Linked DNA regions of Schizosaccharomyces pombe. The gene in region 1 interacts genetically with each later gene. Each region holds a gene or a part of one and is shown in the gene's direction. Other genes may lie near its edges.

Region 1 (7,806 bases):
GATCCCATTGATTACAATATAATGCTAAATATGAAAGTTTAGATTTGAGAAAGGAAATGCTTTAATTCACAACACGCCTTTAGAAATAAGAGCAATCAACTTCTGCAAAATATGCTTTCTGTTCGATGTCGGAAATTGTCTTTAAAAGCTTTAGTAACTGGTATAGTCCAAAATGTTAGGTAATGCTAACAACCTAAATACAATTTTATAAATGGAAGCCTTTACTTAAATTCCAATTTGGCTTTACAAAAGTAGCACAGCTAGGAAGTAGGACATACGGTACTATGATGTCGTACAGTATTGCCAATTTATTGCAGTAAATACACATACTAAATTTGTTGACAGTATAACGATAAATCGTTATCTTTCATTAATATTGACAATTCATAAGTATTGTCACTGCAATTCGTTAGTATTAATATCCACTATTACTCACTATAACTAAACATGTACTATAGTCATATTCTATTCATGTTTAACCAAAGACTCGTTTCTCAATATACCAAGGAAATGTAAAAAAAAAAAATAAGAGAACTCGCTTAAATCTTTATATCCTCTTTAGAATCAATAACCGCTTTTGCCATAACTTCTAAATCAAAAAACACATGTATCACTAACTTCTTTGTAACATAAACCAATGTCATTATTGGTCAAACGATCGCTTTGCTAGTTTATTTTCATTGTTGACTTTGACGCTTGTGTCAGATTTAACTGTGTGAAACAATCTAATTATAAATAGTCAAAAAATAGTATGTATTTACTTATATAACGACAGATACCACACTACACCGTGTGCCAACGCGCACACAACTAAATTTCAATATCTCTACTACCTTTTCAGGTTATTTTACCAGTTAATTTACCCACTTTTAACTTGCAATTAAATTTTTATTAGAGGATTTTGGATCTATTTATATGTTTTTTTGGGTTTAATCGCTTCATTTTATTTTTGGGTATCTTGGATAAACATTAGCTGGTTCTTCGATTTGTAAAAACATATATCCTTGAAGTTCGAGCTTCACTATTAATCAAGCATGTTTTCAGTCATTGGAAGAGGAATAAAGTTTTCTTCGAAATCTCATTACTCGGTATCATGCTTTTTGATTGCTACACAAGGAGCGAAGATTCGCCAGATCCACACACATAATACATTTTTTAAGAATTTCTCTTTTGCTAAGCTTGGCCGAAATCAGCGTACTTCTTCCTTAATAAAAATTCACAACTCTTCGACTTCTTTCCCCAAATCTAGGTCCGAGAAAGTGGTTTACACTCCTAGTCTGCCATTGTCGTCCTCCGTCTTAGCATCTTTTTCTTTCTTACCTCATAATATCCTCCAAAACGGCCTTAATACGCTTCATATTTGGAGCGGCCTTCCTTGGTGGGCTTCAATTGCTGCATGTGCTGTTGCTATGAGAATTGCAGTATTTCCTATTATGTTAAAGATGATGAAAACGTCCGCAAAGCTCGCTATCATTAACCCAAAGGTTGCTGAACACATGAGTGTGTTGAGTAAAGCAAAGGCTGAAGGAAACAGCGAATTAATGATGCAAGCTACCACTCAAATCCAAAACCTTTATAAAGTTAACAATGTTAACCCTTTGAATTTGCTTTCTGCTCCTGTATTTCAGGGAATTCTGTTTATTAGCTTTTTTTACGCGTTGAAGACAATGGCGGGTGTACCTGTAGAGGGTTTCACTGATGGTGGTTTTTGGTGGGTTAATGATTTATCCCAGCCTGATCCTCTACACATATTTCCGGTTGCAAACGGCCTTCTTATGCTGCTCAATATAGAGCTTGGTAGCGAAACTGGAAGTAATAAGGTTGCTATGTCTCCCTCAATGAAAAAATTTTTTAGATTTCTTTGCCTTGCCAGTCCACTATTCACTATGAATTTTCCTATGGCAATTTTTATGTATTGGTTTCCTAGCAATGTCTTCAGTGTATTTCAAGGGGCATTTTTGCGTTCATCCACCATAAGGCATAAACTTGGCTTACCAGAAGTCCCATCTGCTATGCCAGTACCGAACGCTCAAAATGAATCGTTTGTTAAGTCATTTACCGATATTGTCCATGGGGTTCAAGAAAAAGGTAAATACCCACAAGCCTCTGAAATACTAGATGCTACACGTTTCCTTAAAACCGATACAAACAATGAGCAAAAACCTACTAATAATAGTACAATTACCAAAGCTACTACGCTATCTGATAATTCTCAAAATGACAAGTCCTCTTCTGTTACCAAACCCACCGAGAAGAAAGATTAAGCTTTTTTGTGTGCTTTGGAATTCTCTTTCTTAGAAGTGTTCCAATGTCCTATTGAGAGCATAAAAGTTTGTAAGATATGGTTAATTTTTTACATTTGTTGCATTATTCATTTCTTTCCTTTGGCTTTATCCCATAATTTTACATATGTTTTAGTTTTTGCATATATCTTCACACTTGCAACACTCTTTTCTATTTCCTTTACTTCTAATAAAATACCCAAATTTACATTTATTTTGCTTATTCTTTCTAAAAATCGCTTTTGTCTAATTCTTTACTACGGAAAGCGATGAGAAATCAAAGAATATTTACAATAACCTAAAATTTGACGTAGCCGTCTAAACAAAAAATAAAATGATTATTAACTCTTAAAGTGTTTTATGGATATTTATTTTATCAATAAAACTATCGTTATTTCAGTTAGGTAATCATGGAATGTAAGTTTCATCAAATCAACTTAGTTTGCTTCTCTCAAAAATGAGCAAGGCAATATAATTAGGAAGGAATTCAGGTAGTATTTGGGTTCCCTTTCTACAAGTTCATTTCTTATTACTAACACGATTGGTTATTAAGATATGTTTGTCTAAGCGGCGATTGTTTGTAAATTTTTAAATATACAGAAGTAAAGATTATGATGAAATATATCTATATTATAAAAAAAAAAAAAAGTACTTAGAATTGTAAACAGATATGTTTTTTGTTCACATGGTTCATTGAGAAAAGCAATTACGAATTTCTTTGCTTTTCGTTAAACCATTTTCCAAAACCGCCGGGACGATGTAAGTATAACAAACCAGAATCTACCAAAACTTTTTGCAAGAATATCTAGCATTTTACCCAGGCTGTATATAGGCTTGCAAAAGTTACTAATATGACTTCGGGTCCTCATAATTTAGAAGACCCAATAGTTCGAGCAATTCGCCAAAAAAATCAAGCTCCTTCTCATGATTTTACAATATTTGTTCAAGAAGATGGCTCTAGTGTTAGCACACTGGATAGAGTAGTGAAAAGTACGGATATTTTTGAAAGAAATTAGTCTTATTAACAATCAAAGATGTTCAAGCACCAGCAACTTATATTCCGACGGACGTGGAGTTTTTTGATATTAATGAACCTGATAAACCTGACTTGCATTTTCTTCGCAATCATTTCATTCGGGAAGGCCGTTTATCTGAGGAACAAACGTTGTATATTATAAAAAAGGCTACAGAAATTTTGAAGTCAGAAGACAACTTGATTGAGGTGGATGCACCTGTCACTGGTATGTTGATTATCACCTTTCATATTTAGGCCCTAATTACTATAAGGTAAAATATTAGAACTTTGAAATGTAATTTATGACTATGTTTTTCCTTCATTTTAATTTGGGTCGATATTTTGTTTGTATTGCAATATTCTTCGGTCTGACAGCTTAGTATGCGGTGACATTCACGGCCAATATTATGATCTTATGAAACTATTTGAAGTTGGAGGTAATCCAGCAAATACCCAATATCTTTTCCTTGGAGATTACGTGGATCGAGGATATTTCTCAATTGAGTGTTTATTGTACTTGTGGGCTTTGAAAATATGGTATCCGAAAACGCTTTGGTTGCTTCGTGGCAATCACGAATGCGCTCATCTTACTGACTATTTTACCTTCAAGTTAGAATGTACTCATAAGTATAATATTAAAGTTTATGAAGCTTGTTTACAATCTTTTAATGCCCTTCCTTTGGCAGCTATTATGAATAAGCAATTTTTATGTGTACATGGTGGATTATCACCCGAACTACATACTTTGAATGATATACGAATGATCAATCGTTTTTGTGAGCCTCCAACTCATGGGTTGATGTGTGATTTACTCTGGTCTGATCCCCTTGAAGATTTTGGATCGGAAAAATCAAACAAGCATTTTATTCATAATAATGTTCGTGGCTGTTCTTACTTTTATAGTTACCAAGCTGTTTGCACCTTCTTAGAAAACAATAATCTCCTCTCCGTTATTCGTGCTCATGAAGCTCAAGATGTGGGCTATCGAATGTATCGCAAAACTAAAACAACCGGGTTTCCATCTTTGATGACCATATTTTCAGCACCCAACTATTTGGATGTTTACAATAATAAAGCTGCTGTTTTGAAATACGAAAATAATGTAATGAATATAAGACAATTTAATTGTTCCCCTCATCCTTACTGGCTTCCTAACTTTATGGATGTTTTTACTTGGAGTCTTCCATTTGTGGGCGAAAAAGTTTCTGAAATGTTGATTTCAATGCTCAATATATGTTCTAAGGAGGAGCTTTATGAAACGGATTTGAAAGAATCGGCTCCGACTCAGCATAAACAGCCTGCTCCATCTGAGAATGAAAATAAAGCCGACCAAGAAATTGATATTGAAGCTCGTAGGCAAATTATTAAAAACAAGATTATGGCTATTGGCCGTATCTCTCGAGTATTCAGTGTGCTTAGAGAAGAACGGGAAAGTGTTTCGGAACTGAAAAACGTGTCAGGTACGCAAAGATTACCTGCGGGTACTTTAATGTTGGGAGCTGAGGGTATCAAAAATGCTATCAATTCCTTCGATGATGCTCGTAAGCTGGATATCCAAAATGAACGTTTACCGCCATCTAATAGCCGTCGACGTTCTACGGATTTAAAGGCTTTCGAAGAAGTAATGAATTCGTCTGAAGATGATACCTCTATCGATCATTTGGTAGAACGCTTTGCAGATAAGAAAAGCTCTTTGTAGATACCAAAACCTGCGCATATTCGTTTTTTAGTTGGAATTTTTCAATGAGCATAAACCTGATCCGAGGTTTTAAGCATACTTACAACAAATATCTAAACACTCAAAATAAAGAAAGCAAATGAGTTTACTTTAGCATAATACAAGATAACCGATGACTAGATACATAAGCATTGCATTTAGATATTCATAATAAACTTTTTGGTATTCATAACTATGAAACCTTTTATAAAACAAGCAAACAAAAGACGACTACTTTTTGCATAATGAAAGATTGTAAAAAGGGGTATTCGCATGGCACGCTCCACCGTAAAAAAGAATGATAATAAATATAGCAACAGATAATTTAAAATATCTAGCTGACTGTTCTCCGAACTTATACTGCAGTAAAGCTGGCAAATATAAGATCATATCCAGGAAAGTCATACACTATAAATTCTTCACGCTTATAAGAGCTAAAAGATTTAAGTTTGGCCGAGAAATGCTTCTCTTGAGACGCACCTTTAGCCTGGAAAAGGGTAAGACAAAATTTGTTTGCACCAAAAGTTTTAACAGTTTTTTCGATTGTTTCAGATATGGATCTTCCGAATTGGAATTGCGAAACATTTGTTTCAAATGAAGCATAAGAACAATGTTCTTGAGGCGTAACATGGATTGTGGCATAGCGGTCCTTGTAAATCATATTCGACGAGAACCCAATTGGCTCAAATTGAAAAGCATCAAGCACTGCTTTTTTATCAGAGGTACTACATAAGTCTCTAACACCCGATTCATCAGCTACATAACTGCCAAGGATGTGACCCCCCGAGAGATTGTTTTTTTCTCGAACATAGTCATCACCTCTAGCGCTCCGAACAACATCCAAGGATGGAGCGTAAAACTGAAGCGAGCGTTCGGGAGACATATCAGTCATGAGTACCTCTAGGGTCTCATCTTCAGGATCAAGGGAATCTTCCAGTAAAGAATAATCATCAGCCAGATCAGAAAACAGATGCCAGTGATTCTTGTTTGTCGGACCCACTACATAAGAGCATCCACTTGGAAAAAACAGTTGTAAGTAACGAACTTCTTCCTCCCAACTCGTATGTGGTGCAAGCTGGCGTTCGGGATATAAAAAGTTTTTTCTTGAGTAAAAAATACGAAGAGGACGATCAAAGCCAACACTAGAAGCAATTTCTAATAGGCGAGGCAAACTAGCCAGTAGTGTAGTGGTTCCGCATGTTTTAAGGATAATTTTATGGGCAAACACAAACATAGAGGATTCAGAAAGTAAATATGCATCTATTTCTTCACTATTAACAACGCTGAGGACTTTACATTGGGCTTGGGCTAGCATATCATCCCAATCATTGCGAGAAACAGCTTTTAGTCCCAAGTTAGCCTTTTCACCCGCACTTAAATTGGTTTTTATAGGAGCCGAAAACCATAGTTCCAGCAATTTTTCAGGACCTTCAAATGAGGAGGTGTTAAATTCTTCCGAATTCTCTTGATCAACAACAAGGGTAGGAGACATTTTAGAATATAGTCATACAAAGAACTTCCAATGCTATATGTGCGCTGTGAGTGTAATTCCCAAAACACGTACTAGCTAGTTGCTCCAGTTACACTTTTAGGATATTTATTAGCAAAAAAGCATACAAATAATAACTTAATTGCGGCTGTCGCACCAATTTTATATGATGTTGAGGCTAAATACATAACCACAGAAACATCCTGTATCGATCAAAATTTTAAAACCCTACCCTAAATATTTTTGAATATGCTACAAATGACATCGACGCTAATAATAAATTTGGAAATGATGAGTTTACGATATTTTATACATATGATACATACCGTAGTCTAAGTTTCATTAGCGGCACAAACAACTTTAAAGAACCAAAAGTCTTGTTTTTAATGATTGGTAGAAATATTCTTTAAATAAATTAAGACATCGGTGATAGTAAATAGTAGGACTATACATGCGCGTATAATTCAAGTGTTTACGTTCAAATTAGCGAGCTTGTACCACAGATGATCCGTCCATAAATCGTACATGAAATAGTCGATTAGCATTGGTAAACATTCCTTCTTTAAGGCTAACAATAATAAACTGAGAACCTTTAAACTTTGTTTTAATAAGTCTTCCAATGTTTTGGGTATGACTTAAATCGAGCGCCGCGTCAATTTCATCTAAAATGTACATTGGAGCAGGCTTATATTTAAGTAGAGACATAATAAGAGCCAATGCAACTAGAGACCTTTGTCCACCACTAAGTTCTGCCAGACTATCTTTCCAAATTGACCCAATTTTTACATGAATTTCCAATCCATCAGTGAATTCTTTATTCTCTGGTGGCTGTAGTTCTGCACTATTACCAGGAAGTAGTTCGTCAAAAATTTCACCGAAAGAAGAATTGACTTCTCTCCAGGTTTTTTCTAAGGCACTCCTTTTAAACCGATCAATACTTTTGACAGTATCTTGGATCTTTTTCTTATCGCGATGAATGGTCTTTATCATAGAGCGCAATTTGGCTTCTTTCTTTTCTACACCGTCAATCATGTCCATAACCTTGGGATTAATAGCTTTACGCATACTAGCAAATCGCGGTTTCAAATTATGTAACTGCTCTCTACACTGACGCATGTTTTGAGAGTGAAAATCGAAAATGGTTCCTTGCTTACCAAAGTGCTGTTTCTGTCCATCTATCCAATCATTTTCCTTTTCCAAATGATTAATAGCAGTTATAGCAACTGATTTTTCTCGCTCTAATCGGTCAAACTCGTGGTTCAGCTTTTGAATTGTTAGCTCCCCATTGTTTATTTCAGATTCG
Region 2 (9,177 bases), 560 kb from region 1:
AAAATAGAAAAGCAGATATTCAAAACTCAATTAAGACATTTTAAAGAAGAATAGGAATGAATTAAAGGCCAATTACCTTCTCGTAAAACCTTTAAAATTAAAATTGATAACCTTACAATTGACTAGAGGCCCAGTAATTTGCTGCCATATATCACACGATATTTTAAGCTGATTGACCCTTAAATATCATAAGAGATAATAAAAAACAGTGTCACAGATTTTACTATTTACGATAAATTTTCATGGGCTGCTGGTATGGTCAGATACATTGACCTGTGAGGACTCACCTATTTCTCTTTACCCCGGTACACTCATTACCGGCATGAAGGATGCCAACTGAATTATCTGATATCACTATACAAAGCGTACTTCCATGTGATTATAGTTTGTTTAAAAATAATTTACGGGTTTCAAGGCTTCCAGAATCGCGATTTGTTTTTTCCCCAAAAGAAGAAATAAATTGCCAATCTCTTCTTCAAGGTCCGGAATTGGTATGTTTAATGTAAAAGGATTTTCTTTAACCATTAGAAAACTGCTTTAGATAATTTAAACTTCATTCATAAACAGAAATTTGAGCATCAATTTCGACATGGCTATTGGAAATTGCACCCACATCCGCATCATCAACATGATTCAATAATTCCTGCAAGTTGGATTCATGATACTCCGCATATGAAACTCGTCTTTCATCGTTTACAGAATTTACCTGACGGTGATCTGTTACTAGAGAATGACCCTAAAAATAACGTTGGTTATTTCATTAGCGGAGGGATTGCTGGAATCGTCTCTCGTACCTGTACAGCGCCATTAGATCGGCTAAAAGTCATGTTGATTTCAGACACTGGTTCTAAACCTTCCCCGAAGTATCCTTTTGCTACTTTGCTACATACCACTAAAGTTTTATGGAACCGTAATGGGATACGTAGCTTCTTTGTGGGAAATGGCATTAATGTTTTAAAGGTGATGCCTGAATCCTCCATAAAATTTGGTACATATGAAGCGATGAAACGAGTACTTGGAATATCTTCAAGCTCTGAAAATCATAGTCCTCTTTATTCTTACTTAGCCGGTGGCATGGCTGGTTCAGTTGCTCAAATGTTTATATATCCGGTAGATACTCTGAAATTTCGCATTCAGTGCAGCGATTTATCTCGTGGTCAGCATGGAAAAAGCATTATTTTGTCCAACGCAAAGGAACTTTATAAAAGCGTTGGGATACGGGGTTATTACAGAGGCGTGCTCGTGGGCATACTGGGTATGTTTCCATACAGTGCAACAGATTTGGGAACATTTGAGGGCCTTAAGAGGACATGGATAGGTATCTTAGCAAGTCGTGACAATGTCGATCCACAAGATGTGAAACTTCCTAATGGTTTAGTGATGGCATTTGGAGCACTTTCTGGAAGCACTGGCGCTACCATAGTGTTTCCACTTAATGTCATACGTACTCGTTTACAAACGCAAGGTACGTCTGCACATCCTGCAACATACGATGGATTTATAGACTGCTTTTACAAAACTACAAAAAATGAAGGTTTCCGTGGGCTTTATAAAGGATTGTCTCCTAATTTGTTGAAGGTAGCACCTAGTGTCGCTATTTCATATCTGGTATATGAGAATTGCAAAAAATGGTTGGGCCTAGAGTAAGGCACATTTTCTAACTATTTATAATTCTTATTGGTAGGGACCTTTACTTCAAAATTAATAATTCTTTCATTGATAATGATAATCCTTTATCGCAAAACTGATTCTTTATTTACTTTACCTAATCCCCTCTTATTTCATAGCAGATACCCATTTTTCTTGCACTACATTCTGAAAAGAAAATTAGAGATACCTCTAATCCGAATTTGTATATTTCTCGACCCAAATTTCCGTCATCATTGGTCCAATATCCACATTTCGAACAGGAATGGTGATGCCCTTAAATTGCCTTGTTGCGTCTGTTTCTCTCGCTTGCGGCGGAAGAAACCACTCTTCCCATTGTTTTGGTCTGGGAAAACCATCTTTTAGCGTTACCCGAAGCGTCCAAGTGCATTCTAATTTCAGTATTATTAGAATTGAATTTAGTAATAGAATATTTTTTTAGAAAATAATACTGTTTATACCTTGTTCAATAAGAGGAAGTCCATTTGTTATATTGAGTAATTGGATGAGCGAAGCTCTCATGTATTCAACGTAAGCATCTGTGAATGGCTCATTTGTTGAAATTCTACAATATTGTTAAAAGATGCCTATGCCAAGCTAATGATAGTCATACTGTTTCTCAAGTAAGAAATCAGGAATAATCGGGATAGAATCCGTTGAAAAGACATATCGTTCCTCTTCTCGCTGCTCTTTGTTAATAATAGAGAGTGCAACTTGATGTACTGATCCCTAGACGAGCAGTTAGAAAAAGAATTGGATGACTAAGAATACCGTCTGAAGCTCCTCGATACAAGATTGCACTACTTCTTCAATATATTCGCACAAGATCGGATGCCTTGATTGCCAGACAATTGTATTGTATTTTCGAGCTTTTATAAAAAGGTCTAATATGAGAGTTAAATCAAAAGCTAAAAAATCGAATACCTTGAGGATAGAGTCTTCTAGCGTAAAGAATACAATGAATGCTTACAAGCACTGAATTGTAAGCAAAAATGGAAGTTCAAAGTTGCACACATACAAAATTCTCCAAATATATCAATACATTCTAATAGTTTAGCAAGCAAAAGACCCAAATAATCATACTAATAACATACTTTTCACAGACCATCCTGTGTCGTTTTCCATCAGACATGAACGATACGATGATTACTATATTCAAAAATTTCTTAATATGTTCGTTCAAATTCGAGAATTCTATCTTTTCTGAATGAAGCGAGAAAATAAATAAATTATAAAGTTATTAAACCAAAGATATGCAAACTAAAAGAATATCAGCAAACATAGTAATTACATGGATTACAATAACGTACCCGCGATTATTGACGGGATTCCGTAAAACTAACAAAAGACAAATAAGATAGCTGGATAATGAACTGTTCTATTAATTGGTCAATATTTTTTTATTTTGCGTTATTACAATTTTAGCATCAATCAAATAAAATTGGACATGTGACAAAAATATTTATGGGGTAAAGTTCTGTAAAATCGTTATTTTCAAGATTAACGTGCCAAAATCCTTCGAAATTATAACAGGGGTCGCTGAAAAATTTGCCCATATATTTCAATAAATTTTGAAAAAGGAATGGAGTGGTGGGATTCTTTGAATTGCTTGCGAAATCCCTGCGAGCTTGCCAGTCTTACTTCATAGCTACCGCCTTCCAACTACTAAACGTACGAAAACATCGAAAGGACTAAAGCGGGTGTTTACTAGCATTTTATCGAGCTTAAAAGTCTTAATGAAATCTTATAATCACATTAATATTAAAAACGGAAGCGAAAAATTGCAGATAAGAAGTTAAGCGGAAAAATCAGGATTAGGCCATTTAAAGTAATGGATATGATTGATGAGGCTATAACAGAAGTTGTTAGGAAAATTGAAAGAGAAAGATCAGTTATTCATGGCGCCCTTTCCATGAAGCGCTTGACTCAGAATCAGACAGTTCACCAACAACTTCATAGCAATATTGAAGAATCAAAAAAGAGCATTATTTATTTAGAAGAACGCTTAGAAAAACTAAAGCTTCGCAAAAATGGTGTCCGAAAGAGTAATTCTGAGAAACCGTCCGTTGGCATTGAGAAGAATCCATCCTTTAGCACTACAAAATCCGCTAAAAGCTTTTCCTCTACTTCTTCTAATATCGATTCTAACTTGGATTTGCTAAATTATGATACCCCTCTTACTATTTCAAAGATATCATTCTTATTACAACAATTGGAGTTCAAATTATCTGTTGAGGAACAATATCGAAAAGGTATTGAAAAGATGGCAAAGCTCTATGAGCGTGAACATGACCGTCGTAGTATAGCTGAAGCAGAGAAGAAGTATGTAGAAAGTGCTCAAAAGATTACCTTACTCAAGCAAGCTTTGAAGCGATACCATGACTTGCATATCGAAATCGATGAGGAAGATGTTCCCAGTACGGAAAGTAGAGGTAACTTAAATGCCCGTCGTCCCCAGTCTGGTCTCCTTAAAATTACCGTAGGATCTCTAAGGAACGTCACGCATTCTGCTGGAATCTCCAAGCAAACGGAAATGATAGTTGCAATTCGTGCAGAGGATCTTGAGCGTGCACGTACTCGTCCAAGCCGCACCGACCGTTTTAATGAAACTTTTGAAATTGATCTGGAGAAGACTAATGAGGTCGAAATAGTTGTTTACGAAAAGAAAAATGAAAAATTGCTATTACCTGTTGGTTTACTTTGGATACGGTTATCGGATTTAGTAGAAAAACAAAGGCGAAAAAAGGTTGAACAAGAGGTTTCAGATAAAGGTTGGGTTAGTGCCGACAAAATGATTAATCAAAGACTTTCAATATTTTTACCTTCTGCTCTTAATAATATTTCAAAGCCTGAAAGTACTGACCGCCCCAACACAGCTAGCGGTAATCAAAGTGTGAGTGCTTGGTTTTCTCTTGAACCCATGGGACAAATTAATTTGACCATGAATTTCACAAAGCATAATACAAGGAAGAGACCTATGGATGCTGGCCTCGGTCGTCAAGGTGCTATCCGTCAACGCAAGGAAAGCGTACACGAAGTTTATGGTCACAAATTTCTACAACATCAATTTTATCAAATTATGCGTTGTGCTTTATGTGGAGAGTTTTTGAAGAATGCTGCTGGTATGCAGTGCATTGATTGTCATTACACCTGTCATAAAAAATGCTATCCAAAGGTAGTTACTAAATGCATTTCAAAGTCTAGCGATTCTGCTTCTAGCGAATACGAGAAAATCAACCATAGAATTCCTCATCATTTTGAATCTCACACAAACATAGGTGCTAATTGGTGCTGTCACTGTGGCTACATCCTTCCTTTAGGAAGAAAAACTGCCAGGAAATGTACGGAGTGTGGAATAACTGCGCACGCTCAGTGTGTTCATCTTGTTCCGGATTTCTGTGGTATGTCTATGGAGATGGCTAACCGGGTTATTTCTGAGATTCGTACAACTAAAATTTATAAAGCTCAACAACATAAACAGAAAAGTTCACATCACAAGCATCATCATCATAAAAAGTCTAAGTCTTCATCTTCGAAACATAAGGAAAATGACAAAGCATCCGTTTCTATTACAACCACCACAACACCATCTATCACTCCTGCAGACCCTGTTCCAACTTCTCCAAAACCACTGGCAATTGAACCGGTTAAAAGAAAGCCTGTACATGCCGGTAATTTAGAAGTGACATCAGTCTCTGATAATAAACTTGGCGCTACAGTTCAGGTTGTCGAGCAGAAAGTGGATGACAAAGCTGATGCGTTGACGAAACCTCCTTCCCTAGATGCTGTGAAAGAGCCAATCCCAGTACCATCAGTTGAAACCTCTGTTGTTGCTCAAGACCTAACGCATAAAGCTAAGCGTATCGGACTTGAAGACTTTACTTTCTTATCTGTGCTAGGCAAAGGAAATTTCGGTAAAGTAATGCTGGCTGAGCTTAAAAGTGAAAAGCAATTGTATGCTATTAAAGTTTTGAAAAAGGAATTCATCTTAGAAAACGATGAAGTCGAAAGCACTAAATCCGAAAAACGCGTTTTTCTCGTTGCCAACCGAGAGCGTCATCCATTTTTGGTAAACCTGCATTCTTGCTTTCAAACCGAAACCCGTATTTACTTTGTCATGGATTTTGTGAGTGGTGGTGATTTGATGCTTCACATTCAACAGGAACAATTTTCACGTAGAAGGGCACAGTTTTATGCTGCTGAGGTGTGTCTTGCTCTAAAATACTTTCATGATAACGGTATCATATACCGTGATCTTAAGCTTGATAATATCCTTTTAAGCCCAGATGGTCATGTTAAAGTGGCCGATTATGGTTTGTGTAAGGAAGACATGTGGCATGATAACACTACTGCCACGTTTTGCGGTACTCCTGAATTTATGGCACCGGAAATCTTATTAGAACAGCAATATACGAGAAGCGTTGACTGGTGGGCTTTTGGTGTACTAATTTACCAAATGCTGCTTGGTCAATCTCCATTTAGAGGAGAAGACGAAGAAGAAATTTTTGATGCAATTTTATCTGATGAACCTTTGTATCCTATTCATATGCCAAGGGATTCCGTTTCTATATTACAACAACTTTTGACTCGCGATCCTAAAAAACGACTTGGATCTGGCCCTAACGATGCAGAAGATGTCATGACTCATCCATTTTTTAGTAACATTAATTGGGATGACATCTATCATAAGCGAACTCAACCACCGTACATTCCAAGTTTGAATTCACCTACGGACACCAAGTATTTCGATGAGGAATTTACCCGAGAACTCCCAGTTCTTACTCCTGTTAATTCTATTCTGACGAAAGAGATGCAGCAACATTTTGAAGGTTTTTCTTATTCATGCGAGGATGATAAACCCTCGACTACCGATAATGCTTAGCACCTTAAATTGAGCATAAAGTTACTCTCATTTTCTTAATCTTTCATTGCATTGATAAATTATTCTAATTTCGACTTTTTAAACTAAACATTTTTGGATTTCTTTACTACCTGGGTTGTATCTATGATATTATAAGCATGCACATTAATAATCCATACAGTGGCATTAGACTTTTGTTTATGAAAGCACTAGCAAAGTAGTAATTTACTGAGTTTAATAATTTACCGTTTATTGGTCAACAGCTATAGTGCTAATATATGTTAATATCCATCGCATTTGTATCTATGGAGCAAAATTTTTGGATACATTCAATGAAACCCGCCAAATATACCTATGCTTAAGTAATTGCTTTAGTGCAACCCTGCATGTGGGTCTTCTGGTTGTCTTTCGGGATCAAGTTTGATACTAGTATCGATACGTAAAATAGCAATGCATGCCTCAACGGCGCTCTTCAAACTTTTCAACTTAGACATGGATGGCTCAAGAACACCAGCCTTAACATTATCACGAATTACGCCATTAAGTAAATCAAGACCATAATTTTTGTATCCCCGTTTCTTAACATCTGTAACCTCAGCATTTTGACTGGCTGCGTGATAAGCACGCAACTTAGCTGTCAGTTCAGTAGAGTCTTTGGCGGCATTGACGGCCAAAGTTCTGGGAATAATTAACAAAGCTTGTGCAAACTCAGCAATTGCAAGTTGCTCACGAGAGCCCAAAGAGGTAGCAAAATTTTCCAAGTAAATGCTCAGAGCTGTTTCCACAGCGCCGCCACCAGGAACGACTTTGCCGCTCTCAAGAGTGCGTTTGACGACGCTTAAAGAATCATGCATTGAACGCTCCATTTCATCTAAAGAGTATTCATTGGGGCCTCGCAGAACAATTGATGCAGACGAATAAGCTTTGGTTCCTTTGACAAGAATACATTCATCATCCGAAAATTTTTCTTGAACAACCTCTTCAGCCGAGCCCAAGTAGGAACTTTCAAAGGTTTCTTCACCCTCTAAATTTGACAATGAACTGAGTAAGGTAGCACCGGAAGCCTTGGCGATACGTCTCAAATCTTCCTTTTTGCATCTACGAACAGCCATTGCGCCAGCTTCAATAATGGATTTCAAACAGAGATCATCAATGCCCTTTGTGGTAAGAATAACATTGGCACCCGCATTGAGAATTTTTTTGACGCGTTCCAGCGTAATCATAACTTCTCGTTCACGGATCTTTTCAAGTTGATCGGGGTCATCAATCGTCACATGCACACCTAACGCCATTTTAGTTTTTTGCAAATCCATATCCAAAACAGCAATTTTAGCATTCTGAACACGAGTTTTCATAGCTTGACTGGCAATGGTACAATTTAAAGCATAACCTTTAACCAGGACGGACTCTCGAGAACTTTTGCCATGTGCCTTCAAAATGTTGACAGCTTTAACAGGGTAACGGGTCTCACCCTTAGAATTAGAAGTTTTGACGGAAAGCATTGCGTCAACAGCCATGGTTGAAAAAAAGTCTGAATCATTACCAATAATTTTTGAAGACATACTGGTTTTGGCAACGTTAATAAGACTCTCTTTTCCCAAACTATCTACGCTGCAGCTCAAGACATCTGTCATAAATTTTACGGCTTCACGGATAGCAAGTCGATAACCGGTTATAATAGTAGTGGGGTGAATTTTGTTTTTGACAAGCTCATTCGCACGTCTCAACAATTCAGCCGCAATAATGACAACACTAGTAGTTCCATCACCTACTTCTTTGTCTTGTTGTTGAGCTAATTCAACCAGCACTTTACCAGCAGGATGTTCAACATCCAATAATGATAAAATGGTAGCACCATCGTTTGTAACAGTAACATCCTAATACAAGTTAGATAGAAATAAAAGAAAGTAAGAAAAAATATAATAAAAGATGAACTATAATGGCAGGAATACTTATTAATTCGATTCACAATATAAGGTTGACTCTTCCCTGCCAATTAAGATTTCCTTAAATGCGAGAAGATTACAACACTAGCGTATCAAATCAATAAATATTGGTTAAAGGCCAATATCCCCCATTATTGTCTAAAATTTTCTTTTCTTCACGAGGTCTTTAACATACACCAATATCGTCAACGAGCATTTTGTCTAACCCGACAGGACCCAAGGATGATTTGACGACATTCGCAATTGCGGTCGTTGCCAAAACTAAAATGTTAAAAGTTATGAAAAGAAAATTAACATACCATTTTGGTTTCGTACGTCCTCTCCACTGATTTTTTCACCACTCAAAACTACAACATGTTAATAATTTACCATCCAGCGCAATATTGGATGCTTACAAAGAGTGGATTCTCTCGGTGCTTGAAACATTTCAGCTAGATTCGATGTTCTCCTCTAAACTGATTAACAATCTTTGTTTACACGTTTGGCAGACGTCGAGGGAGGAAGGTTCTTTGAAATGTACTAAAAGCATTCAAACCCTCTAAGTGTTACCTCATATAGCGTAATGTTACCCTCTTGGTGGAAACTAAAATTCTGCAACACAAACTACCTGTGCACTATTTGCAGCATAGGGACAATTAACAAATTCAATAATTTTGATTTACGAAGGATGTCTTTCACGTTTGAAAGCATTATGTAAATTTATCGACTGCATTAAAAAATATA
Region 3 (9,213 bases), on another chromosome or scaffold:
CAATAAGTTTCATAAACAATCATAACCTGATAAATGCAAGTAAAAAAAAATATAACTTTCTAAGGTATATAGCTTTTTAAGCCTGAAAGAATCAAATCTTTCTTCGTTCCAGCCAAAGAGTCCTTAATTTCGTTTGCCCATTCAGCGCTCATCTCTTCTAAATCGTCCATAGTATTTTCAATTCCTCCTAACATATTCCCCCGTTGGGCTAAATGGTCGTTTATTTGAGCGAAGAATCCTTTCTGTTGTTGTTGCCTTCTTGGAGGGATATAACTTTGAGCAGACTGAGAAGTCATGGAAGGAACCGGGGTCAGTGGTTGCTTAACTGATTCTGCTGGGCGAGCTGAAATAACTTTAGGAGTCTCTAAAGTATGCACTTTACTTTCAGCCCTGTTTTCACCTCCGAGTAAGATATCTAGCTCTTCAGCAGATGTAGACTGTTCGCCCAGTAACCAATTCCACAAGGATTTACTAGGTCTTGGCGGTACATGGGAAGCATTGTGAGTAATAAGCATCATGGGTGCCAAATTCGCCAATGTTCTCCCACTTCCTAAAACACAGCCAAAGGCTAATTCATGTGCTCCTAACGTTGGGAAAATATAATCCCCATTGCCTAGAATATCACCTTCTTTGAGCCTAATGGAATAGTTAGCAAATTCATTTCAAGTAAACACCTTACCTATTTTTATCAATATCCAATGGAAGTTGCATTTTACGTTCCTCACGAAGGTTTGGGAGAGAATACCAATTCACCGAAAGATCAGAATTTACGCAAACTACGGAACCCATGTGTTTGGAAACAGTAGAAAGCACAAGAGCTGCTCGACAACAAACAGGTTTTCTCCAATCCAGGTTACCCACTTGATTATTAATTTTATTAAAAACAGAAATTCCTGAATCGCCAATATACACGAGGAAAACTTCCTGTGGTAAGGGATATCCAACGCTTTGTAATGAGGATCCAGTGGCTGTCGCGATCTGGCCATCTTGAGTTAAAGAGCATATTTTATAAATGTTCTTAATATCTAATTGTCGAGATGATTCAAAATAAGCAGAAAAGCGCCCTGAAGAGGAAGGGTCTATACGGAATAAAAGTGTCATCCCTCTATATGTTCCTGTGACTACGTAGATTGAGGAAGGGCTTCCTTTAGGGTTCATAACGACAAACTCGGCACTCGTAAGAAAATCGGGATCAGGTTTTCCTCTTCTCTCTAATCCAAGCTCCGAGATGCTGGTGTTACACAGTATATGGGGGCCACGCATGTCGATGATTGTAATTCCACCATCCTGATATCCTATACAAACAAAACCAATATTGCTCATTTGGTTCAATGTTACTCTTCCTCGTTTAAGATCAATATAATATTGAGCATGTAATGTTCCCTCTAGAACTAAGGTATCGTCCAAACGATATATTCCGTTAGCGAGCTGAGCTGGTAAATTTTCTTTATGATTTTTCCTTTTGCAAACAATGACACGCCCAAAACTATCAGCACAACTGAATTCTGGATTATAAGTGGAAAAAGAGGCAGTAGTTATAAAAGCTGAAGGCGTGAGATGCTTTCGCATTACAGAAGAGAAATCCAAATTTACGCAGAGAGATGGATTCATAAAACCCTGAGATATATCCCAAATCGATAAACTAAGACCAGTCGATGTTATAAGTAGATTACGCTCATCTAATTTCTTAAGATAGCCGGGACTAGGAGATCCGCCAAAAAGACAGGAGTAATGTGAATTAACGGAAATAGTATCTTCAATTTGATTCCAAACTTTTTTTGTTACAGTTTGAAATGCTATAACTCGAAAATCTGAAGCAAGGAAGCATAAAGAGGGGGGAATAGAAAGGCTCATGTTTGAAATATTTCCAGTAGAAATGTCGAGCAGCGATAACGAGTTGTCTTCCGAAAGAAGGAGAAGATTCTTGGGATTATGAGATCCATTGTAATGTGGTGAGCTAGAAGGAATCACCAGCATATCACGTACAGGGGGGATGTCAATAAAAGGAAAAAAGCGTTGTGAGTTTGGATTTGCGAAAAATTCCGCAAATGTTTCAACATCCTTTTTGGCAGGGAGATTTCGATAACTGAACAATGAAATTCCCTTTACCGGTGCTTCTTTCGGCAAACCACCTAACATCAAAATAAATGAAACTGTTGGGTCTTCACAACAACACCACCTCATAGACCTAATGGGCTCAAGCTCCGTCTTAGGAGGATTTCTCTGCATGGGGGTATACGTGTGTATGTTTGAATCGACAAAATTTCGGACTTGTACAGGATATTCTTGATCCACATCCCAGAATGCAAAAGTCGAATCAGTATAGTAACTAACAAAGTGATCACCCCAAGGACTCCACTCTATCCCTTTGACTATAGGTCTTCGATAATTATGGGGTGATAAAACTGCAGCTGTACTACCTGGTGCATACTCCAATTCATAAAAGCGTATAACTTCGTCAGTCCTTATTGAGTACAAAACAACGCCATCCGGATATGCAATCAAAATCACACCGAGATCCTTCGGGTGAATCTGAACGCTTACAACTGGGGATAGCTTTCCAGGAACTGGTGCATAAGAGTAGCCTGAAAATTAGTAATAAATTCAAATAAACAACAATGACCTCAACGTACCCATCATTCGCCATTCCTCGTGTCTTGGGACATACAAATTTGGAACTTTGAATTTTCCAAGGCAATGTCTAGTAACATCCCATGGCACAACGGAGCCATCACTCATTCCAAAAAAAACCCAATCAATAGTAGGATCCGTTACGGTACATGTAACTTTTTGCTTGAGAAAGTAAGTGGCAGCTGGTTTTGAAAGGTCACGATGTTTCATCAAGGGATAGCTTAAGACCGTATTTCGAGAGTCAATTACAATCAAATACGCCGCACAAAGGGCTATATGGACAATGGTTGAACAGTCTGGAACTATCACACTCTGGACATGCTGTTTACCGTAAATGTATATCCGATTAGTACTAGATACAATAGCTAGTAAGCCTTGTTGATGGTCTAAACACCATAATACTGGATTTAAGGAAAACCCAAATCGATTCAACTAATCTTTGTTATTAAACATTCAACAAGCATTGCTTCCCTACTTACGTCGTCTATCGATAGTGAAGCATTTGAAGACGTATGGGTCTTCAAATTGGATTTGGATAAAATTTCTTTTCCCTTACTTAGCTTTTTTTTAAAAAAGCTCATATTTTCCCAATTCTTGGTATAAATATACTAATCATGTTATACCCTCGTAGCATATACAAACTCACGCTCAACTCGTGTTAGAGAACGCTATTTTTGGATAACGTCTTGTGCCGTTAAACCAATAATAATGTAAGCTACGCAGTTTGGTATCTGATTTAAGGATACGTAAACTGCGGTGAGTTTTCCTTGTAACCTATTATATTACAATAAACAGGTTGTATGAGTAGCAACTGAGTATTGTATTAACTGTGTTATAATGTTACCTATCACTAATATAGCTCATAACTGAACTGAGGAACGAGGTTCAGTTGTAACGCTATTTATAATATTTCTAAATAGTTGTTATCAACTGGTAACTAGTATATAGATGGATAGTTACCCGTGATTATCAATAAACGGATCTTAGCTAGTATTCCAACATATGACATATAGTGATACACAACGTAGTGTATCATAGCGTAATGTAGTATTGCTGACAAATAATGAGACTTCTAATTTTATCCTTATAGCACTGAATTCGACTTTGCATCATTCACTAGTCAAACCGCAAGCGATTTTGAGCGGGCCTAAAGCCAGACACCAAGCTGGAGATTGCTTGGTTTACCCGTGAAGGTTTATAGAATCGAAATATCAGTTTTACATTGATAAAGTATCTATTTTTAATTCTCTATTATTTTCTAACAGGCTTCTGTGGAATTGGCGGTATCATACGGGCTGCATGTCAAAACACATGGGAAGTCTTTTTGCAATATCTTTAAACCCTGAGTACTAGTGATTCAACATTTCTCTCCTTTCTTAATATTTTATTTACCTGCAAGAAATTGGGCTATTACTAACATCCCAAGTCTGTCTTTTGCAAATTAGTTCACTCGTTTCAGCCGAATCTTAATTTTTTTAATCATAAACTACTTAAGCAGCAATCTCCAATTCGTTTGACAAAAAAAAGGTTTTTTATCTTGAATTCTTTTCAAAGTAACTAATACTGTTCTGGGTATATGGCTGCCGATATCGGATCGCAGTCATCAGGCTCTTTGGAAGAACGGTTTGAACAGTCTCTTCATCTTCAGAATGTCGATAAGCAAGATTGGTCACTTAACAGTGTACTTCAGTTTTTAAAACTATACAAATTTAACAAAGAATGGGAAGACGTTTTTATTAAAAGTCGAATCGAAATGGATTTATTTATCAATTTGGCCGATCAATCAAAAGCCGAGGAATTCGCCTTTAAAAATAAATTGAGCAAGGAGTCTGCCATCCAATTGAGTAGCTGTATTCGCAAAACACTTTTAGCACCTTCTTCGACTCGCGTACCTAGCAAAAACTCGTCTTACGAAACATTAACTTACAGCGCCAAAGATAGTTCGGATGACGTTTTTACAGAAACTAACTCTGGTTTCCGCTCTTCAAATCAAAATTCGTCCCTCAAAAGCTTTCAGAGTGTTCCTGATAGCAATGTGAACGTGTTTGGTGGCTTCGGTGGATCAGTAGTCGACAACAATGAGCTATTGAGCACAGGAAAAAACTCCCATCAAACAACCTCTTTAAATTTGGAAGGCTCTCCTATAAACTTACACGCTTACAAAGGAACTGTCACTTCAATAATTAACGATGACAGCAGAAACATTAATAAAAAAACATTGTCGAAACAACCTGTATCCGAACATAAAGAAAAACAAACTAGCTTTCTCCGTCGTTTCCGGGTACCTGGGTTTTCTCGTGACAAGGATAAAACTAAAGATTGCCCTTCTTCAAATTCGAACCCATTCCATTTAGCTTCTTCAAATGTGAAAACATTAGACGCGTCTTTGGATCAAGGTGAGTGGGTACCTCGTATTCATCGTTTAGAAAGTCAAATTGGTTTAATATCCAAAAAGAAGTCATTTGTTCTTGCTACTATGGATGATATGAAATTCACAGTAGTGGATATTACCAACGTCCAAAATGCTACTCAGCTACGTAAGCTAATAGCTAAGAGTATGTATTTAGACATTTCAATTGACCAGTTTGATTTGTTTCTCACGGAAGTCGGCGGGGCTCAATACATAGAAATATTAGATGATAGAAAGCTTGATATTGCAAGGCTTTATTCTGATGAATTTGGAACTATTAAATTTTTCGTAAAGCCATCACAAAATGAAGAATCGGGTATGGATAGTGATACTTATTTATCTTTTGGCACAAAATCAAGTTCAACTTATAAAGCTGATGATGACTCAATATATCATCGCAAGGAAGATTTTAAAAAGCAACCAAGTTACCCTGTGCTTACTTCGGATTTTGAAATTACTGATGCAGGACCTAATTTATCATTATCAGGGCATCAACCTGATAATAAATACTACAAAGGTTTTAGTTCGGCACCGAATTTGGCAGTTGTTCCAGAATTACCATCTCGACGTTTTCGAGGGTTTGAAAAAATCCGTGGTGCTAAAGGAGAAATGGCTACAAAAATTTTGGATGCCACTGAAGCCCAAAGTGAAAAAAACAAATTTACCGTTTGTAGACCTCACAAGAAGGTCACATTGAAAATGCCACTTAATTCCGGCTCTTCCGCTCCCCAAAGTCCTTCATCTAATACTTCTGCTTCTGTTTTAACTAGAAATTTTGTGGCACATAGAGATCCTCCACCCCCACCCACAGAGACATCTAGTTTACGTCGAAAAAATACATTGACTCGTAGACCAAGTATTCGTCACGCTCGGTCCTCTCCTTACATTGATACCGGACATAACGAAGCTAGCAAATTTTCACATACGTCTTTTGACCCCAAAGCATCTAGTAAATCTTCTAATTCATTAAAGGAAAGTGTGGAAGCTTTATCAGAAATACCTTTTGAAGATGCGCCTGCACTAGACGAATCGGATCTTTCTGGGGATCCCTTTTGGGCTATACAGCCCAAACAATCTTCCTCCCAAGTACCTAAAGAAAATCATCACAACATTCAATCCAAACTTTCCATTAACACAGAGGCTGCTACGGATTTGAAAGCAAATGAACTATCTTCGCCTAAAACTCCTGAATACTGTAGAGGTGATGACAGATCCATTAGTTTATCACCGTTATCTTATCGTTTAAGAAAGTCCAAACATATTCGTGAATCCCCACCGTCTTCAAAGGTTATCAATTCTGGTAACTGGGAAGTTCGTCCATCTGCTGATGATCTTTATGAGGATGTTGATCGATTTTTTCCCCGTTATGATTTGGATAAAGTACTTGTAGTGGACCAAAGCCGCATGGTTTCTTCCCCTTCAAAGGTATCGATACGTCCGAAAATGAAGTCTGTACGATTATTAGCCCGCGAAGCATCTGAAGCTCGGAAAGAAATACGACATAACGCGAGACGCAATAAATCTGGAAATCTTCTACGTCGATCAAGTACGAAACTTTGGGGCTCTAGGATTGTAGAACTAAAACCAGATACTACTATAACTTCTGGATCAGTTGTTTCACAAAATGCCACGTTCAAATGGATGAAAGGAGAATTGATTGGAAATGGTACTTATGGTAAGGTATTTTTGGCTATGAACATTAATACGGGTGAATTGATTGCAGTAAAGCAAGTTGAAATACCACAAACTATTAATGGCCGTCATGACCAATTACGCAAAGATATCGTGGATTCCATTAATGCAGAAATTTCTATGATTGCCGATTTGGATCACTTAAATATAGTGCAATATCTGGGTTTCGAAAAGACGGAAACGGATATAAGTATATTCCTGGAATATGTTTCAGGTGGTTCAATTGGTCGATGTTTGCGGAATTATGGTCCTTTCGAAGAGCAACTGGTCCGTTTTGTATCACGCCAGGTGCTCTACGGGTTGTCTTACTTACATTCTAAAGGTATTATACATCGAGATTTAAAGGCTGACAATTTGCTCATTGATTTTGATGGAGTTTGCAAAATTTCAGACTTTGGAATATCTAAGCATAGTGATAATGTGTATGACAATGACGCAAACCTGTCCATGCAAGGATCCATCTTTTGGATGGCACCTGAAGTAATTCATAATGATCATCAAGGATATAGTGCTAAGGTCGACGTCTGGTCCTTGGGATGTGTAGTGTTGGAAATGTTAGCTGGTCGTAGACCGTGGTCTACAGATGAGGCTATCCAAGCTATGTTCAAGTTAGGTACCGAGAAAAAGGCGCCTCCTATTCCTAGTGAATTGGTGTCTCAGGTATCACCCGAAGCGATTCAATTTTTGAATGCATGCTTTACTGTGAATGCTGATGTAAGGCCAACCGCAGAGGAATTATTAAATCACCCGTTTATGAAATGTGACGAAGAATTCAACTTTAAGGACACGAATCTTTACGACATGCTTTGTAAAAGAAAGAGCTAAATTGGTCGCAATTATTATTTATTACTTAGCGTTTCCTCGCAGGGGCATGCATTCTCAATTTCTTCTTATAGCTATTTATTTAATATTGAAATTAATTTTGAAAATTATTACATTATTATACAAACAAACATACATGATCATTTTCAATTTCTACAATGTATTTAAAAGTAAATTTTCATTTTGTCAAAATTGTTTCGTTTATTTAAAATTAAAACTGATATTAATAAGATGTACTCTTCCCGTCTGAAACCTTCCTTTTTTTGAGTTCCCTAGTATTTCGCTTTGGTAAACTTACCTTGTTAAGAGGATTAAAACCCCGTTTCCCAAATTTATTTTTTCCTACATCAGAGTCTAAGTCAGCAATAAAATTCTTTTGATTTTTATAATCAAAAGGTGCTTCATTGATAATTGGACTGTCATTAGAAACATGTTCGGCTTCAATAGTAAGTTTTCCGCTGTTCTTCTTTTTCTTCTTTTGCTTCCGTTTTTTTGACACTGAAGTTGAAGCTTCCGAAGGTTCAATATCTTCATTTCGCTCCTCTATGGGGTTTGAGGGTTCTTTATGATTAAGCTTAGAAGAATCCCTTTTTTGCTTGTTCAGCCCTAAATCCCTAATGACTATAGGCTCTTGTTTCTTCTCTCCATTCAGACTCGGGTTTGCAGCTTCAGTTACAGTGGACTGCTTTACATTCAATTCGGATTCAACATGCCCTTGAGTACAAGGAAGAGTTAATGAAAAAGGAATATTCTGGTTCACTATAAAGAGTCTCTCTTTACGAGCTTTCCGTAAATCATCTTGCGACTGTCCCTCAATCCAAAACGCAGATCCATTTGCCAGCAAAGTCTTTAGTTTACTTCTATTTTGTTTAGAAATCTCGAAAACACTGGAGTCAACTTTGTAATCACCCAAAGTATTCGATTCGGAAAAAACTGCTAGCGGTTGATTTTGCTTCTCAACTTCTTTAAATTGGGATTTCTCACGATCTACTTGCTCATTATACAACTTTTCGGCTTCTTGAACGACTTTAACGATATCTTCAACATACATGCGAGCAATTGGTGTCAATTGCTTAGAAATTGAAAACACATCAGCCGCTTCAACCGGTTTACTGGCGGCAATCGCAATAAGTAAACGATTTGGCAACACATAGCGAACACTTTCATCTTCTTTTCGGGCTACGGAATCTCTCCAATCGTGCAGTGCTCGATAAATCATCAAAGCTTCCCGTCCAATTATTTTAGAAGAGCCAAACTTAGTAAGTACATTTCTCCAGCCATCAGTACCAAGTCCATAAATAGGATCATAAGGCTCAAGTTCATACTTTCTAAGAGATATTTGTTTACTGGAATTGAACACTGATTGCATAAGATTTTCTTTTCTTTCAGCTGATTTTGATATGAGTTCATTTCGTAAATGATCCCAAATATATAACAAATAATGCGTATCAGATTGAGCATATTTTAACATTTCCCGAGGCAAAGGACGGATTCTCCAATCAGCCATTTGGTATCTTTTATCTGCATCATAATCACAATACTTTTGTAACAGAAAAGCCAGACCATGACCCTCAAATCCTAAAACTTTAGTAGCATAGTATGTATCAAATAAGTTTACAACGTAAAGCCCGAAATCTCTTTGCAGCCAAATGATATCC
Region 4 (6,990 bases), on another chromosome or scaffold:
TTGTAGTAAATAAGACAAGTAAGATTGGGATTTATGATATGGCTTTTTAGGCCTTAGATTTTTTGCCGACCATTCGACTAGGATTGATTCTAAAGGTTCAAAAATCACCATCCAAAAAGGGCTATTGCTTTGGCCTTGACAATCGTATAAATTCATTAAAGCATTATTATCCTCTGTAAATAATAATAATGTATAGTTACTACCCAGAACGATGCCAGCACCGTTGCCGCGGTTTAGTATATTTTTAAAGTGAGTCATATCAACATCGCTTCGAATACAAAGACTTCCGGAAAGAACTTTAGTCAAGCAAGTACCAAATACCTCGAGATATTGTGAAGTAACAAAACGTAAAACATCTACTTGCTTGCAACTGACTAAACTTCGTAACAACTGTTGATGTTCAGTTTCCGCCTTAAGCTTGGATATATCAAATGACAATTCTCCAGCATAGTAGAGAGATTTTCCGACTCGCAAAACGAATCTAAAATAATCAGACAATGTGCTTGCTGAAGAAAGATCTTCGGATTCGCTTATCGAATGGTGAAGAGAGTTATCCGAATTTAAAGTAATATTACCAGCCGGAACTACTTTGCTAGCTCCATCATTTTCAAAAGTTTGATCGCTTTTAGAAACACTGTTCCAGTCGTTATTAACAGTAGTCCAACTACTTCCGATAACACTTTTCTTAAGCTGCTTAGCATCTTCATTCGTCACGTTTACGTTGAAATCGAAATTTTCGTCCAGATCGACATTGCTAGCAAATTTTTCCGACTCAGAAAGGGTATCTGTTGTTGTTTGTGTAAAAGAAACGGACCTTGCATTTGCTTTCTTTGAAGGGGTTGTTTTTAAAATAGACTTTGAGACTTTACATTCTTCCATATCAGTTGATATCTTCCCTTTTACTAAAGTTACATGCCAACTTGGATGCCCTTTATCATACGCAAGTTTGGCTTGTTCGATAGAATCGAATTGAATGTAGGCCATATTACAAACTTTGTCTTTCTTTGGTGATTTGAGAAAAAAGACCTCAATATTTCCTTTGATAAAAGCAAAGTACGATAAAATATCTTGCTTCGTTAAAGAACCAGAATTATCACTAACTAATATCGTATGCGTTTCTAATTTCGGTGCTTCCTTTTTTATCTTCAAAGAGGAAGGAAGAGGAGTCGAATTGCTAAAAAATAATGAATTGGCAACATCATTATCGGAAGTTATTACTGGCGACAGACTTAAAGGGCTTGAATGCCTAAAGGTTGACAAGGGGGTGTTAGATTGTGGTGAATTCGCATTTTCAACAAAAGCGCCAGTATTTTCAAGATTGTTCGAATTTTGAATTCCGGGAACTGAGTTGTCAGAGTCACTGGGCATCAACATTGTGCTTTTAATTTCGCCATTTTTCAAAGGTATTGCATCGCTGGAGAGGCTTTTGGACAATAAAATACTGTCGGTAACTGTAGGCCACTCTGATAAGTAGAAAGGATTAACATCAGGGCTAGTTTCACCAAACGATGTGGATAGCGTGCTAGTTTTATCGGTCAAATTCCTCTCCTTCAATTCCCCTTGCATACTTTTTCTCTCAAACGCATCCTCATCCATTGTCTGATCGTCCTCTTCCTCTTCATCATTTGCGATGGTTACAATCCTTCGGGCAGGCTTCTTACGCATCTTTTTGAATTTTTCTTTGACTTTTTGAGATAATTGGGTAAGCTCGGATTTGCGCTTTTGTCTTTGTTGCCTCAATATCTCCTTTTCTCTCTTCATTTTCTTTGCCTCATTATCTTCCGCATCGAAAGGTTCAAGCAAGCCTTTAGCAATTAACTTTTTCCGTTTTTTCCATTTTTTAAGCACTTTTTCCGCACCGAATAAATTTTGTTCAGGTTCCCAAGTATTATCATACCAATCATAGCCAGCCCATTTTATATAATATTCGTTTATGCCATTTTTATTTACGCGGTCAGCAAGGATATCTTCCACCTCATAAACATCCGCGTCTGTCTCACCTTCATTCGAGTCAATATCAGGAAGTGGTTTAACAGATACCATTTCAAGGTAGCGGGTTTTTTGCTCACCTACGTGTCGCTAAGAGAGATTGAAGTATTACAACAAAAAAATATATAAAAGGATAAAGATATGAATTTAAAAAAAAAACGGAATTAAGCAAGATTGAATAGATTCCTTGACAAAACTATTAGCCAAAGTTCTTCCCTTTCAACTACTTTTATAGTTGCATGAAGGGCAGAGTATAACCTCTAAAATGGCTCAAATATTTCCCTTTTGCTTGTGATTTTTTTACCAATGGAACACAAGAATAACAACAGATAATTCCAGTAATGAAGCTTTTAGATGTTAGAATTTCGAAGTCTCGCTGCAATAAGCAAGATGGCTTATGCACTCGAATTTTGGAATCAAACAAAATCCGCGTGATTTTACCGTCGTGTCACCAACGCAAACCGTTAAATATACAAAAAAATAAGTTTTCGATTGGGTTTGGAGTTTTATTGCATTAATCAAGTGTGTGAGGTTGAGGTTGCAGATTTGAAGACACCTATGGAGACATATGTACTTTGAGAAAATACTCACTAACCACTAGTGTTACTAGTTGCATACATGAGGTACTAGTAGTCAAAAAACTTTGTTGGTAAATTGATAAATGTTTAAAATTTTCTCATTCCTCCTGAACTTCTAATTTTATTTTCTGGGTGGTTGTGTAAGTTAGAAAAACTTTAAACAAATAATGAATTTTGTTTTCAAAAAGCTACAATGAGTAGATTTTGAGCGCTGCAATTTATTAAACGATGCGTTTATACATAATACCTCTAAATGTGTTAACTCTATATAAACGAATTCAACACAACATATCATTCCAAAACTGGTAGTACAATAAGAAAAGTAAATAATTACTACGATAGAAAAAAATGATCGTGCCAAGACTCGAACTTGGGACCGTCTGCGAACTAGCATGTTAAGCAGAAATTATAACCATCTAAACCACACGACCTCTTTTGATAATTGCTTGCATTAATTTTATATAGAGGTTAACCAAGGGATCCATTTACTTATATTATTACGGAACTATGTTATTCGTTTTCCATGAAATGAACTTAATAAGAAAAACTGTTTATGTGCAGGATTTTTTTGTTTCTTGTTAACCCAAGATTTGCCAACGATAATTATTCGATGGATTACTCAAGTAACTTTCTGCATGAAGGATGCCTGCATGCCATGAGCAGCATCCAACATTGTATAACTTTTGCATAAAGAAAAAGATTTCAATTGAGCCGCCAATTTTATTCTTTCAAATTTTTAATTTCGATCATTGTGACCATTATAAAAGTGAGAAAAAGCTGCTGAAAAAACCGGAACTTAAAATATTCTTTCTTTGGCTAGATAACTTTGTAACTTGGAAATCAAAACATTGCTTTCAAAGAATTTCTACATCATTGTTTGATGCAGGACTAAAATGGGTATAGTACTGACTAATCGCACTGTAAAAACCCATACCAACCCGTCCATATCCAGTTTTGCGATTGGGTTCAATCGGTCATTCATATAATTGATAGTACTTGCATTCAATTGAGTACTTGCGCTTCTTTATATCAAAGGCATTTTAAAATGTTTACAAAATAGCGCTTTATAGTGAACAACAGCATAATGATTTTGATGATAGCAATCACTAAACGACACCAGCCTTCTCATGATTACGACATTCTTTGTAACGCAGTATAATTATTTAATGAATCATTGGAATGCGTTATATGCATTTTAACGGCCAGTGGCACTAGTGGACTTTTTTTTGTTACCATGATAAAGGATTATTACTTCCTTAGGTTTTCTGATATCCCTCTGCAACTTACCTACAACAAACTACGACTAAGTAAATTCTTCGACTATCGAAAGCAGGGTTCATTGTAATTTACAGGTATATACCTTGATATTATTTGACCTTAAATATTTGTTAACAAAAATTGTTCGTAGATTTACCGATAGAGAACTTAGCCATGTGTCAAGAGGACGAATACGATTATTTGTTCAAGACTGTGCTGATTGGGGATAGTGGTGTTGGAAAGTCAAACCTACTTATGCGTTTCACTAGGAATGAATTTAATATCGAAAGCAAGAGTACTATTGGTGTTGAATTTGCTACTAGAAATATTGTTCTTGACAACAAAAAAATTAAAGCACAGATCTGGGATACTGCCGGTCAGGAACGTTATCGGGCCATTACCTCAGCTTATTACCGTGGTGCTGTTGGTGCTCTGATTGTTTACGATATCACAAAACAATCTTCATTCGATAATGTGGGCCGCTGGTTAAAGGAGCTTCGTGAGCATGCAGACAGCAACATCGTTATCATGCTTGTTGGTAATAAAACGGATTTACTACATTTAAGAGCTGTATCTACTGAAGAAGCCCAGGCATTTGCTGGTAAGTAATTTTGTTGGTGAGATATGGAGTTGTTCGGACGGGAAGTAGTGAAACCGGCTTTAGCCGCTCTCACTTTATTCCGTTCATCGTTTTTAGCAATTTTGAACTGCTTGAAGCGTAGAAGATCTCTTTTTGTTTTGAAATATTATTCACCTTGTCGATTCCATTCTCTGTTTATTAAGCACATTTGTTTGCCTCTGATTCGTCATAATTTTTTGAACATAATTAACTAATGTTTTTACAGCTGAAAATAACTTATCTTTTATTGAAACCTCCGCCATGGATGCTAGCAATGTTGAAGAAGCTTTCCAAACAGTTTTGACTGGTATGTTTATTCGTACTTGCTTTGATTTCTTCAAGTTTTACTAATCTAGCGTAGAAATTTTCCGAATTGTCTCCAACAGATCACTCGAGGCTGGAGACGACGGTGTTCATCCTACAGCTGGTCAAACGCTTAATATCGCCCCTACCATGAATGATCTTAATAAGAAGAAGTCTTCTTCCCAATGTTGTTAGATGGTTATCACGGATTCGTACCATTATTTTACCTCGTTTCTCTTCATTTAAAAACTCCACCCCTTTATAACATTTAAGGTGCCTTATGATTATGAAATCTTTAGCAGGTTAGTCAACCATTTATTAGGGCTGTATCCTTTAATAAAGGGGTAGATATTTTGCCTAATGCTAATATTGTCTACTATGGATTTACCGTCCTTCTTTATACACGCTTCAGCATAATTTTATCCCCATTCCTATGCAGCATATAAGTGTAACACATTATTACCTCTGTTTATTATATGATATTTGTAGGGTTACTTTAATAGAGAATTTGTCCAGATATTTTCATTATTCATACAGCTCATGTTTAATTTCCATGATATATCCTTTATAAGAGAAAGTAACAGATGATAAGTATGAGATAAGAGCCAAAAAGTTAGAGACAGCTTAAACGGGGAAATCAAATTTTCCAGCCCAAGTTATAACTTCTTTCTTCAGTTTGGCGATTTCAGAGAATTTAGAACCATCACCCACATATGCTTTGAAGTCTCTAAACTTCGATTTTCCTTCCTTCAAAGCAGCTTCATTTATTTTCTTGGTCAAAGATACAACTTCATCAATTAGCTCTACCACTCTCTCAAAATCCTTCTCATCAAAACCGCGAGTAGTGCAAGCTGGAGTTCCCAGACGTAATCCACGTGGAATTAAAGCAGACTTATCTCCGGGCACAGTATTCTTGTTGGCAGAAATATTTACAAGCTCTAAAATACGTTCGACACGGGCACCATCTACACCTTTGTCGGTCAAATCAACAAGAACCAAGTGAGTATCCGTGCCACCTGAAACTAACTTATAGCCACGAGTAATAAATGCATTGGCCATTGCCTTGGCGTTACTTAGAACGTCCTTTTGGTATTGATAGAATTCAGGAGTTTTTGCTTGTCCAAGGGCGACAGCTAACGCAGTAATTGTATGATTATGGGGGCCGCCTTGATGTCCAGGAAAAACTGAGAAATTGATTTTATCCTCTAATTCATATAAAATTGGATTACCACGTTTATCGTGAGAACGAGTACCTTTTCGATAAAATATCATAGCTCCTCTCGGTCCACGTAAAGACTTATGAGTCGTCGTAGTAACAATATCGGCGTATTCAAACGGAGAAGGAATTACACCGGCAGCTACTAAACCGGATATGTGAGCCATATCACAAAGCAAATAGGCATTGCACATTTCCGTAATTTTACGCATACGCTTGTAATCAACGAGTCGTGCATAAGCACTAGCGCCTGCAACTATAACTTTAGGACGAAATTGTATCGCAGCCTTTTCCAAACTATCATAGTCAATAATACCAGTTTCCTTATTTACGTTATATGGCATGGTGGAAAAATAAGTCGAGACAGCTGAAATAGCTTTCTGGGGAGTAGAGAAACCATGAGATAAATGACCGCCATGGGGTAAATCTAAACCCATTAGGCGATCGTGTGGCTTCATTACTGCTTGATAAGCCTGTAAGTTGGCCGGAGACCCAGAATGGGGTTGTACATTTACTCCCCATTTTTCCCCATCCAAATGAAAAGCTTCTAAAGCTCTCGTTTGACATAGTCTTTCAGCTTGATCTATAAATTCATTACCACCATAATATCTTGCACCAGGATAGCCTTCACTATATTTGTTTTGCATAATACTTCCGAGTGCATCCATCACAGCTCTTGAAGTAAAGTTTTCGCTAGCAATTAAAGCTATCGACTCTTTCTGACGGCTTTTCTCAGATTCCAAAATCTTATACACTGTCGGATCACATTCTGCCAATGGTGCTTTGAGTAACTTAATTATCGTTAGAACTTTATTAGAACACTTCATAAATCATTTGAGCAAGTCAATCTATCGCCTGTTGATAGTAGCAAACAGCACAGATAGAAAATACAGTCATTGCTTGCTCCAAAAAAGCGCGTTTAAATAAACTTCTTTACCTTTTTTTGATTAGCAGAAAGCGCATAAAAGCGCTTGGGAATTGAAGAGTAAGAGTTCTTGACGAATTGACGAAGAACTGCCATTGTGGTG

What was found.
Region 2: of ppb1 (region 1) and pck2, a mutation in one rescues a mutant of the other (synthetic rescue), as found in Schizosaccharomyces pombe (2 studies listed by BioGRID).
Region 3: of ppb1 (region 1) and mkh1, a mutation in one rescues a mutant of the other (synthetic rescue), as found in Schizosaccharomyces pombe (3 studies listed by BioGRID).
Region 4: mutations in ppb1 (region 1) and ypt3 are lethal when combined (synthetic lethality), as found in Schizosaccharomyces pombe (2 studies listed by BioGRID).

What each region holds. Positions count from the first base shown.
Region 1 is NC_003423.3:2,870,864-2,878,669, forward strand, and holds ppb1 (calcium-dependent serine/threonine protein phosphatase calcineurin catalytic subunit Ppb1), read left to right. Parts: upstream 1-3,058; 5' UTR 3,059-3,133; coding exon 3,134-3,272; exon of another isoform or gene 3,273-3,316; coding exon 3,317-3,523; exon of another isoform or gene 3,524-3,677; coding exon 3,678-4,996; 3' UTR 4,997-5,246; downstream 5,247-7,806. Other genes in the region: SPOM_SPBP19A11.07C (uncharacterized protein), read right to left, coding at 1-8; oxa102 (translocase Oxa101), read left to right, coding at 1,035-2,264; S-adenosylmethionine decarboxylase proenzyme Spe2, read right to left, coding at 5,370-6,506; cut14 (condensin complex SMC subunit Smc2), read right to left, coding at 6,987-7,806. UniProt on the Schizosaccharomyces pombe protein: Calcium-dependent, calmodulin-stimulated protein phosphatase. This subunit may have a role in the calmodulin activation of calcineurin. Appears to be involved in cytokinesis, mating, transport, nuclear and spindle pole body positioning, and cell shape.
Region 2 is NC_003423.3:2,307,139-2,316,315, reverse strand, and holds pck2 (protein kinase C (PKC)-like Pck2), read left to right. Parts: upstream 1-3,307; 5' UTR 3,308-3,478; coding exon 3,479-6,529; 3' UTR 6,530-6,879; downstream 6,880-9,177. Other genes in the region: cyclin CycC-like Srb mediator subunit Srb11, read right to left, coding at 117-148; SPOM_SPBC12D12.05C (calcium-binding subfamily carrier protein), read left to right, coding at 330-491, 529-1,647; DNA polymerase zeta Rev7, read right to left, coding at 1,840-2,039, 2,109-2,212, 2,261-2,376, 2,419-2,531, 2,572-2,622, 2,666-2,692, 2,742-2,772; chaperonin-containing T-complex alpha subunit Cct1, read right to left, coding at 6,880-8,385, 8,630-8,715, 8,754-8,801, 8,850-8,880. UniProt on the Schizosaccharomyces pombe protein: Involved in the control of the cell shape. Target of the inhibitor staurosporine.
Region 3 is NC_003424.3:611,843-621,055, reverse strand, and holds mkh1 (MEK kinase (MEKK) Mkh1), read left to right. Parts: upstream 1-3,780; 5' UTR 3,781-4,207; coding exon 4,208-7,558; 3' UTR 7,559-7,687; downstream 7,688-9,213. Other genes in the region: sro7 (Lgl family protein), read right to left, coding at 60-636, 680-2,585, 2,634-3,063, 3,111-3,212; exosome 3'-5' exoribonuclease subunit Rrp6, read right to left, coding at 7,779-9,213. UniProt on the Schizosaccharomyces pombe protein: May regulate cell morphology, cell wall integrity, salt resistance, cell cycle reentry from stationary-phase arrest, and filamentous growth in response to stress. Activates the MAP kinase kinase skh1/pek1 by phosphorylation.
Region 4 is NC_003424.3:2,211,817-2,218,806, forward strand, and holds ypt3 (Rab11 family GTPase Ypt3), read left to right. Parts: upstream 1-3,855; 5' UTR 3,856-3,919; exon of another isoform or gene 3,920-3,975; 5' UTR 3,976-3,998; coding exon 3,999-4,425; exon of another isoform or gene 4,426-4,560; intron 4,561-4,669; coding exon 4,670-4,750; intron 4,751-4,804; coding exon 4,805-4,941; 3' UTR 4,942-5,318; downstream 5,319-6,990. Other genes in the region: heterochromatin (HP1) family chromodomain protein Chp1, read right to left, coding at 1-2,043; serine hydroxymethyltransferase Shm2, read right to left, coding at 5,371-6,753, 6,900-6,983.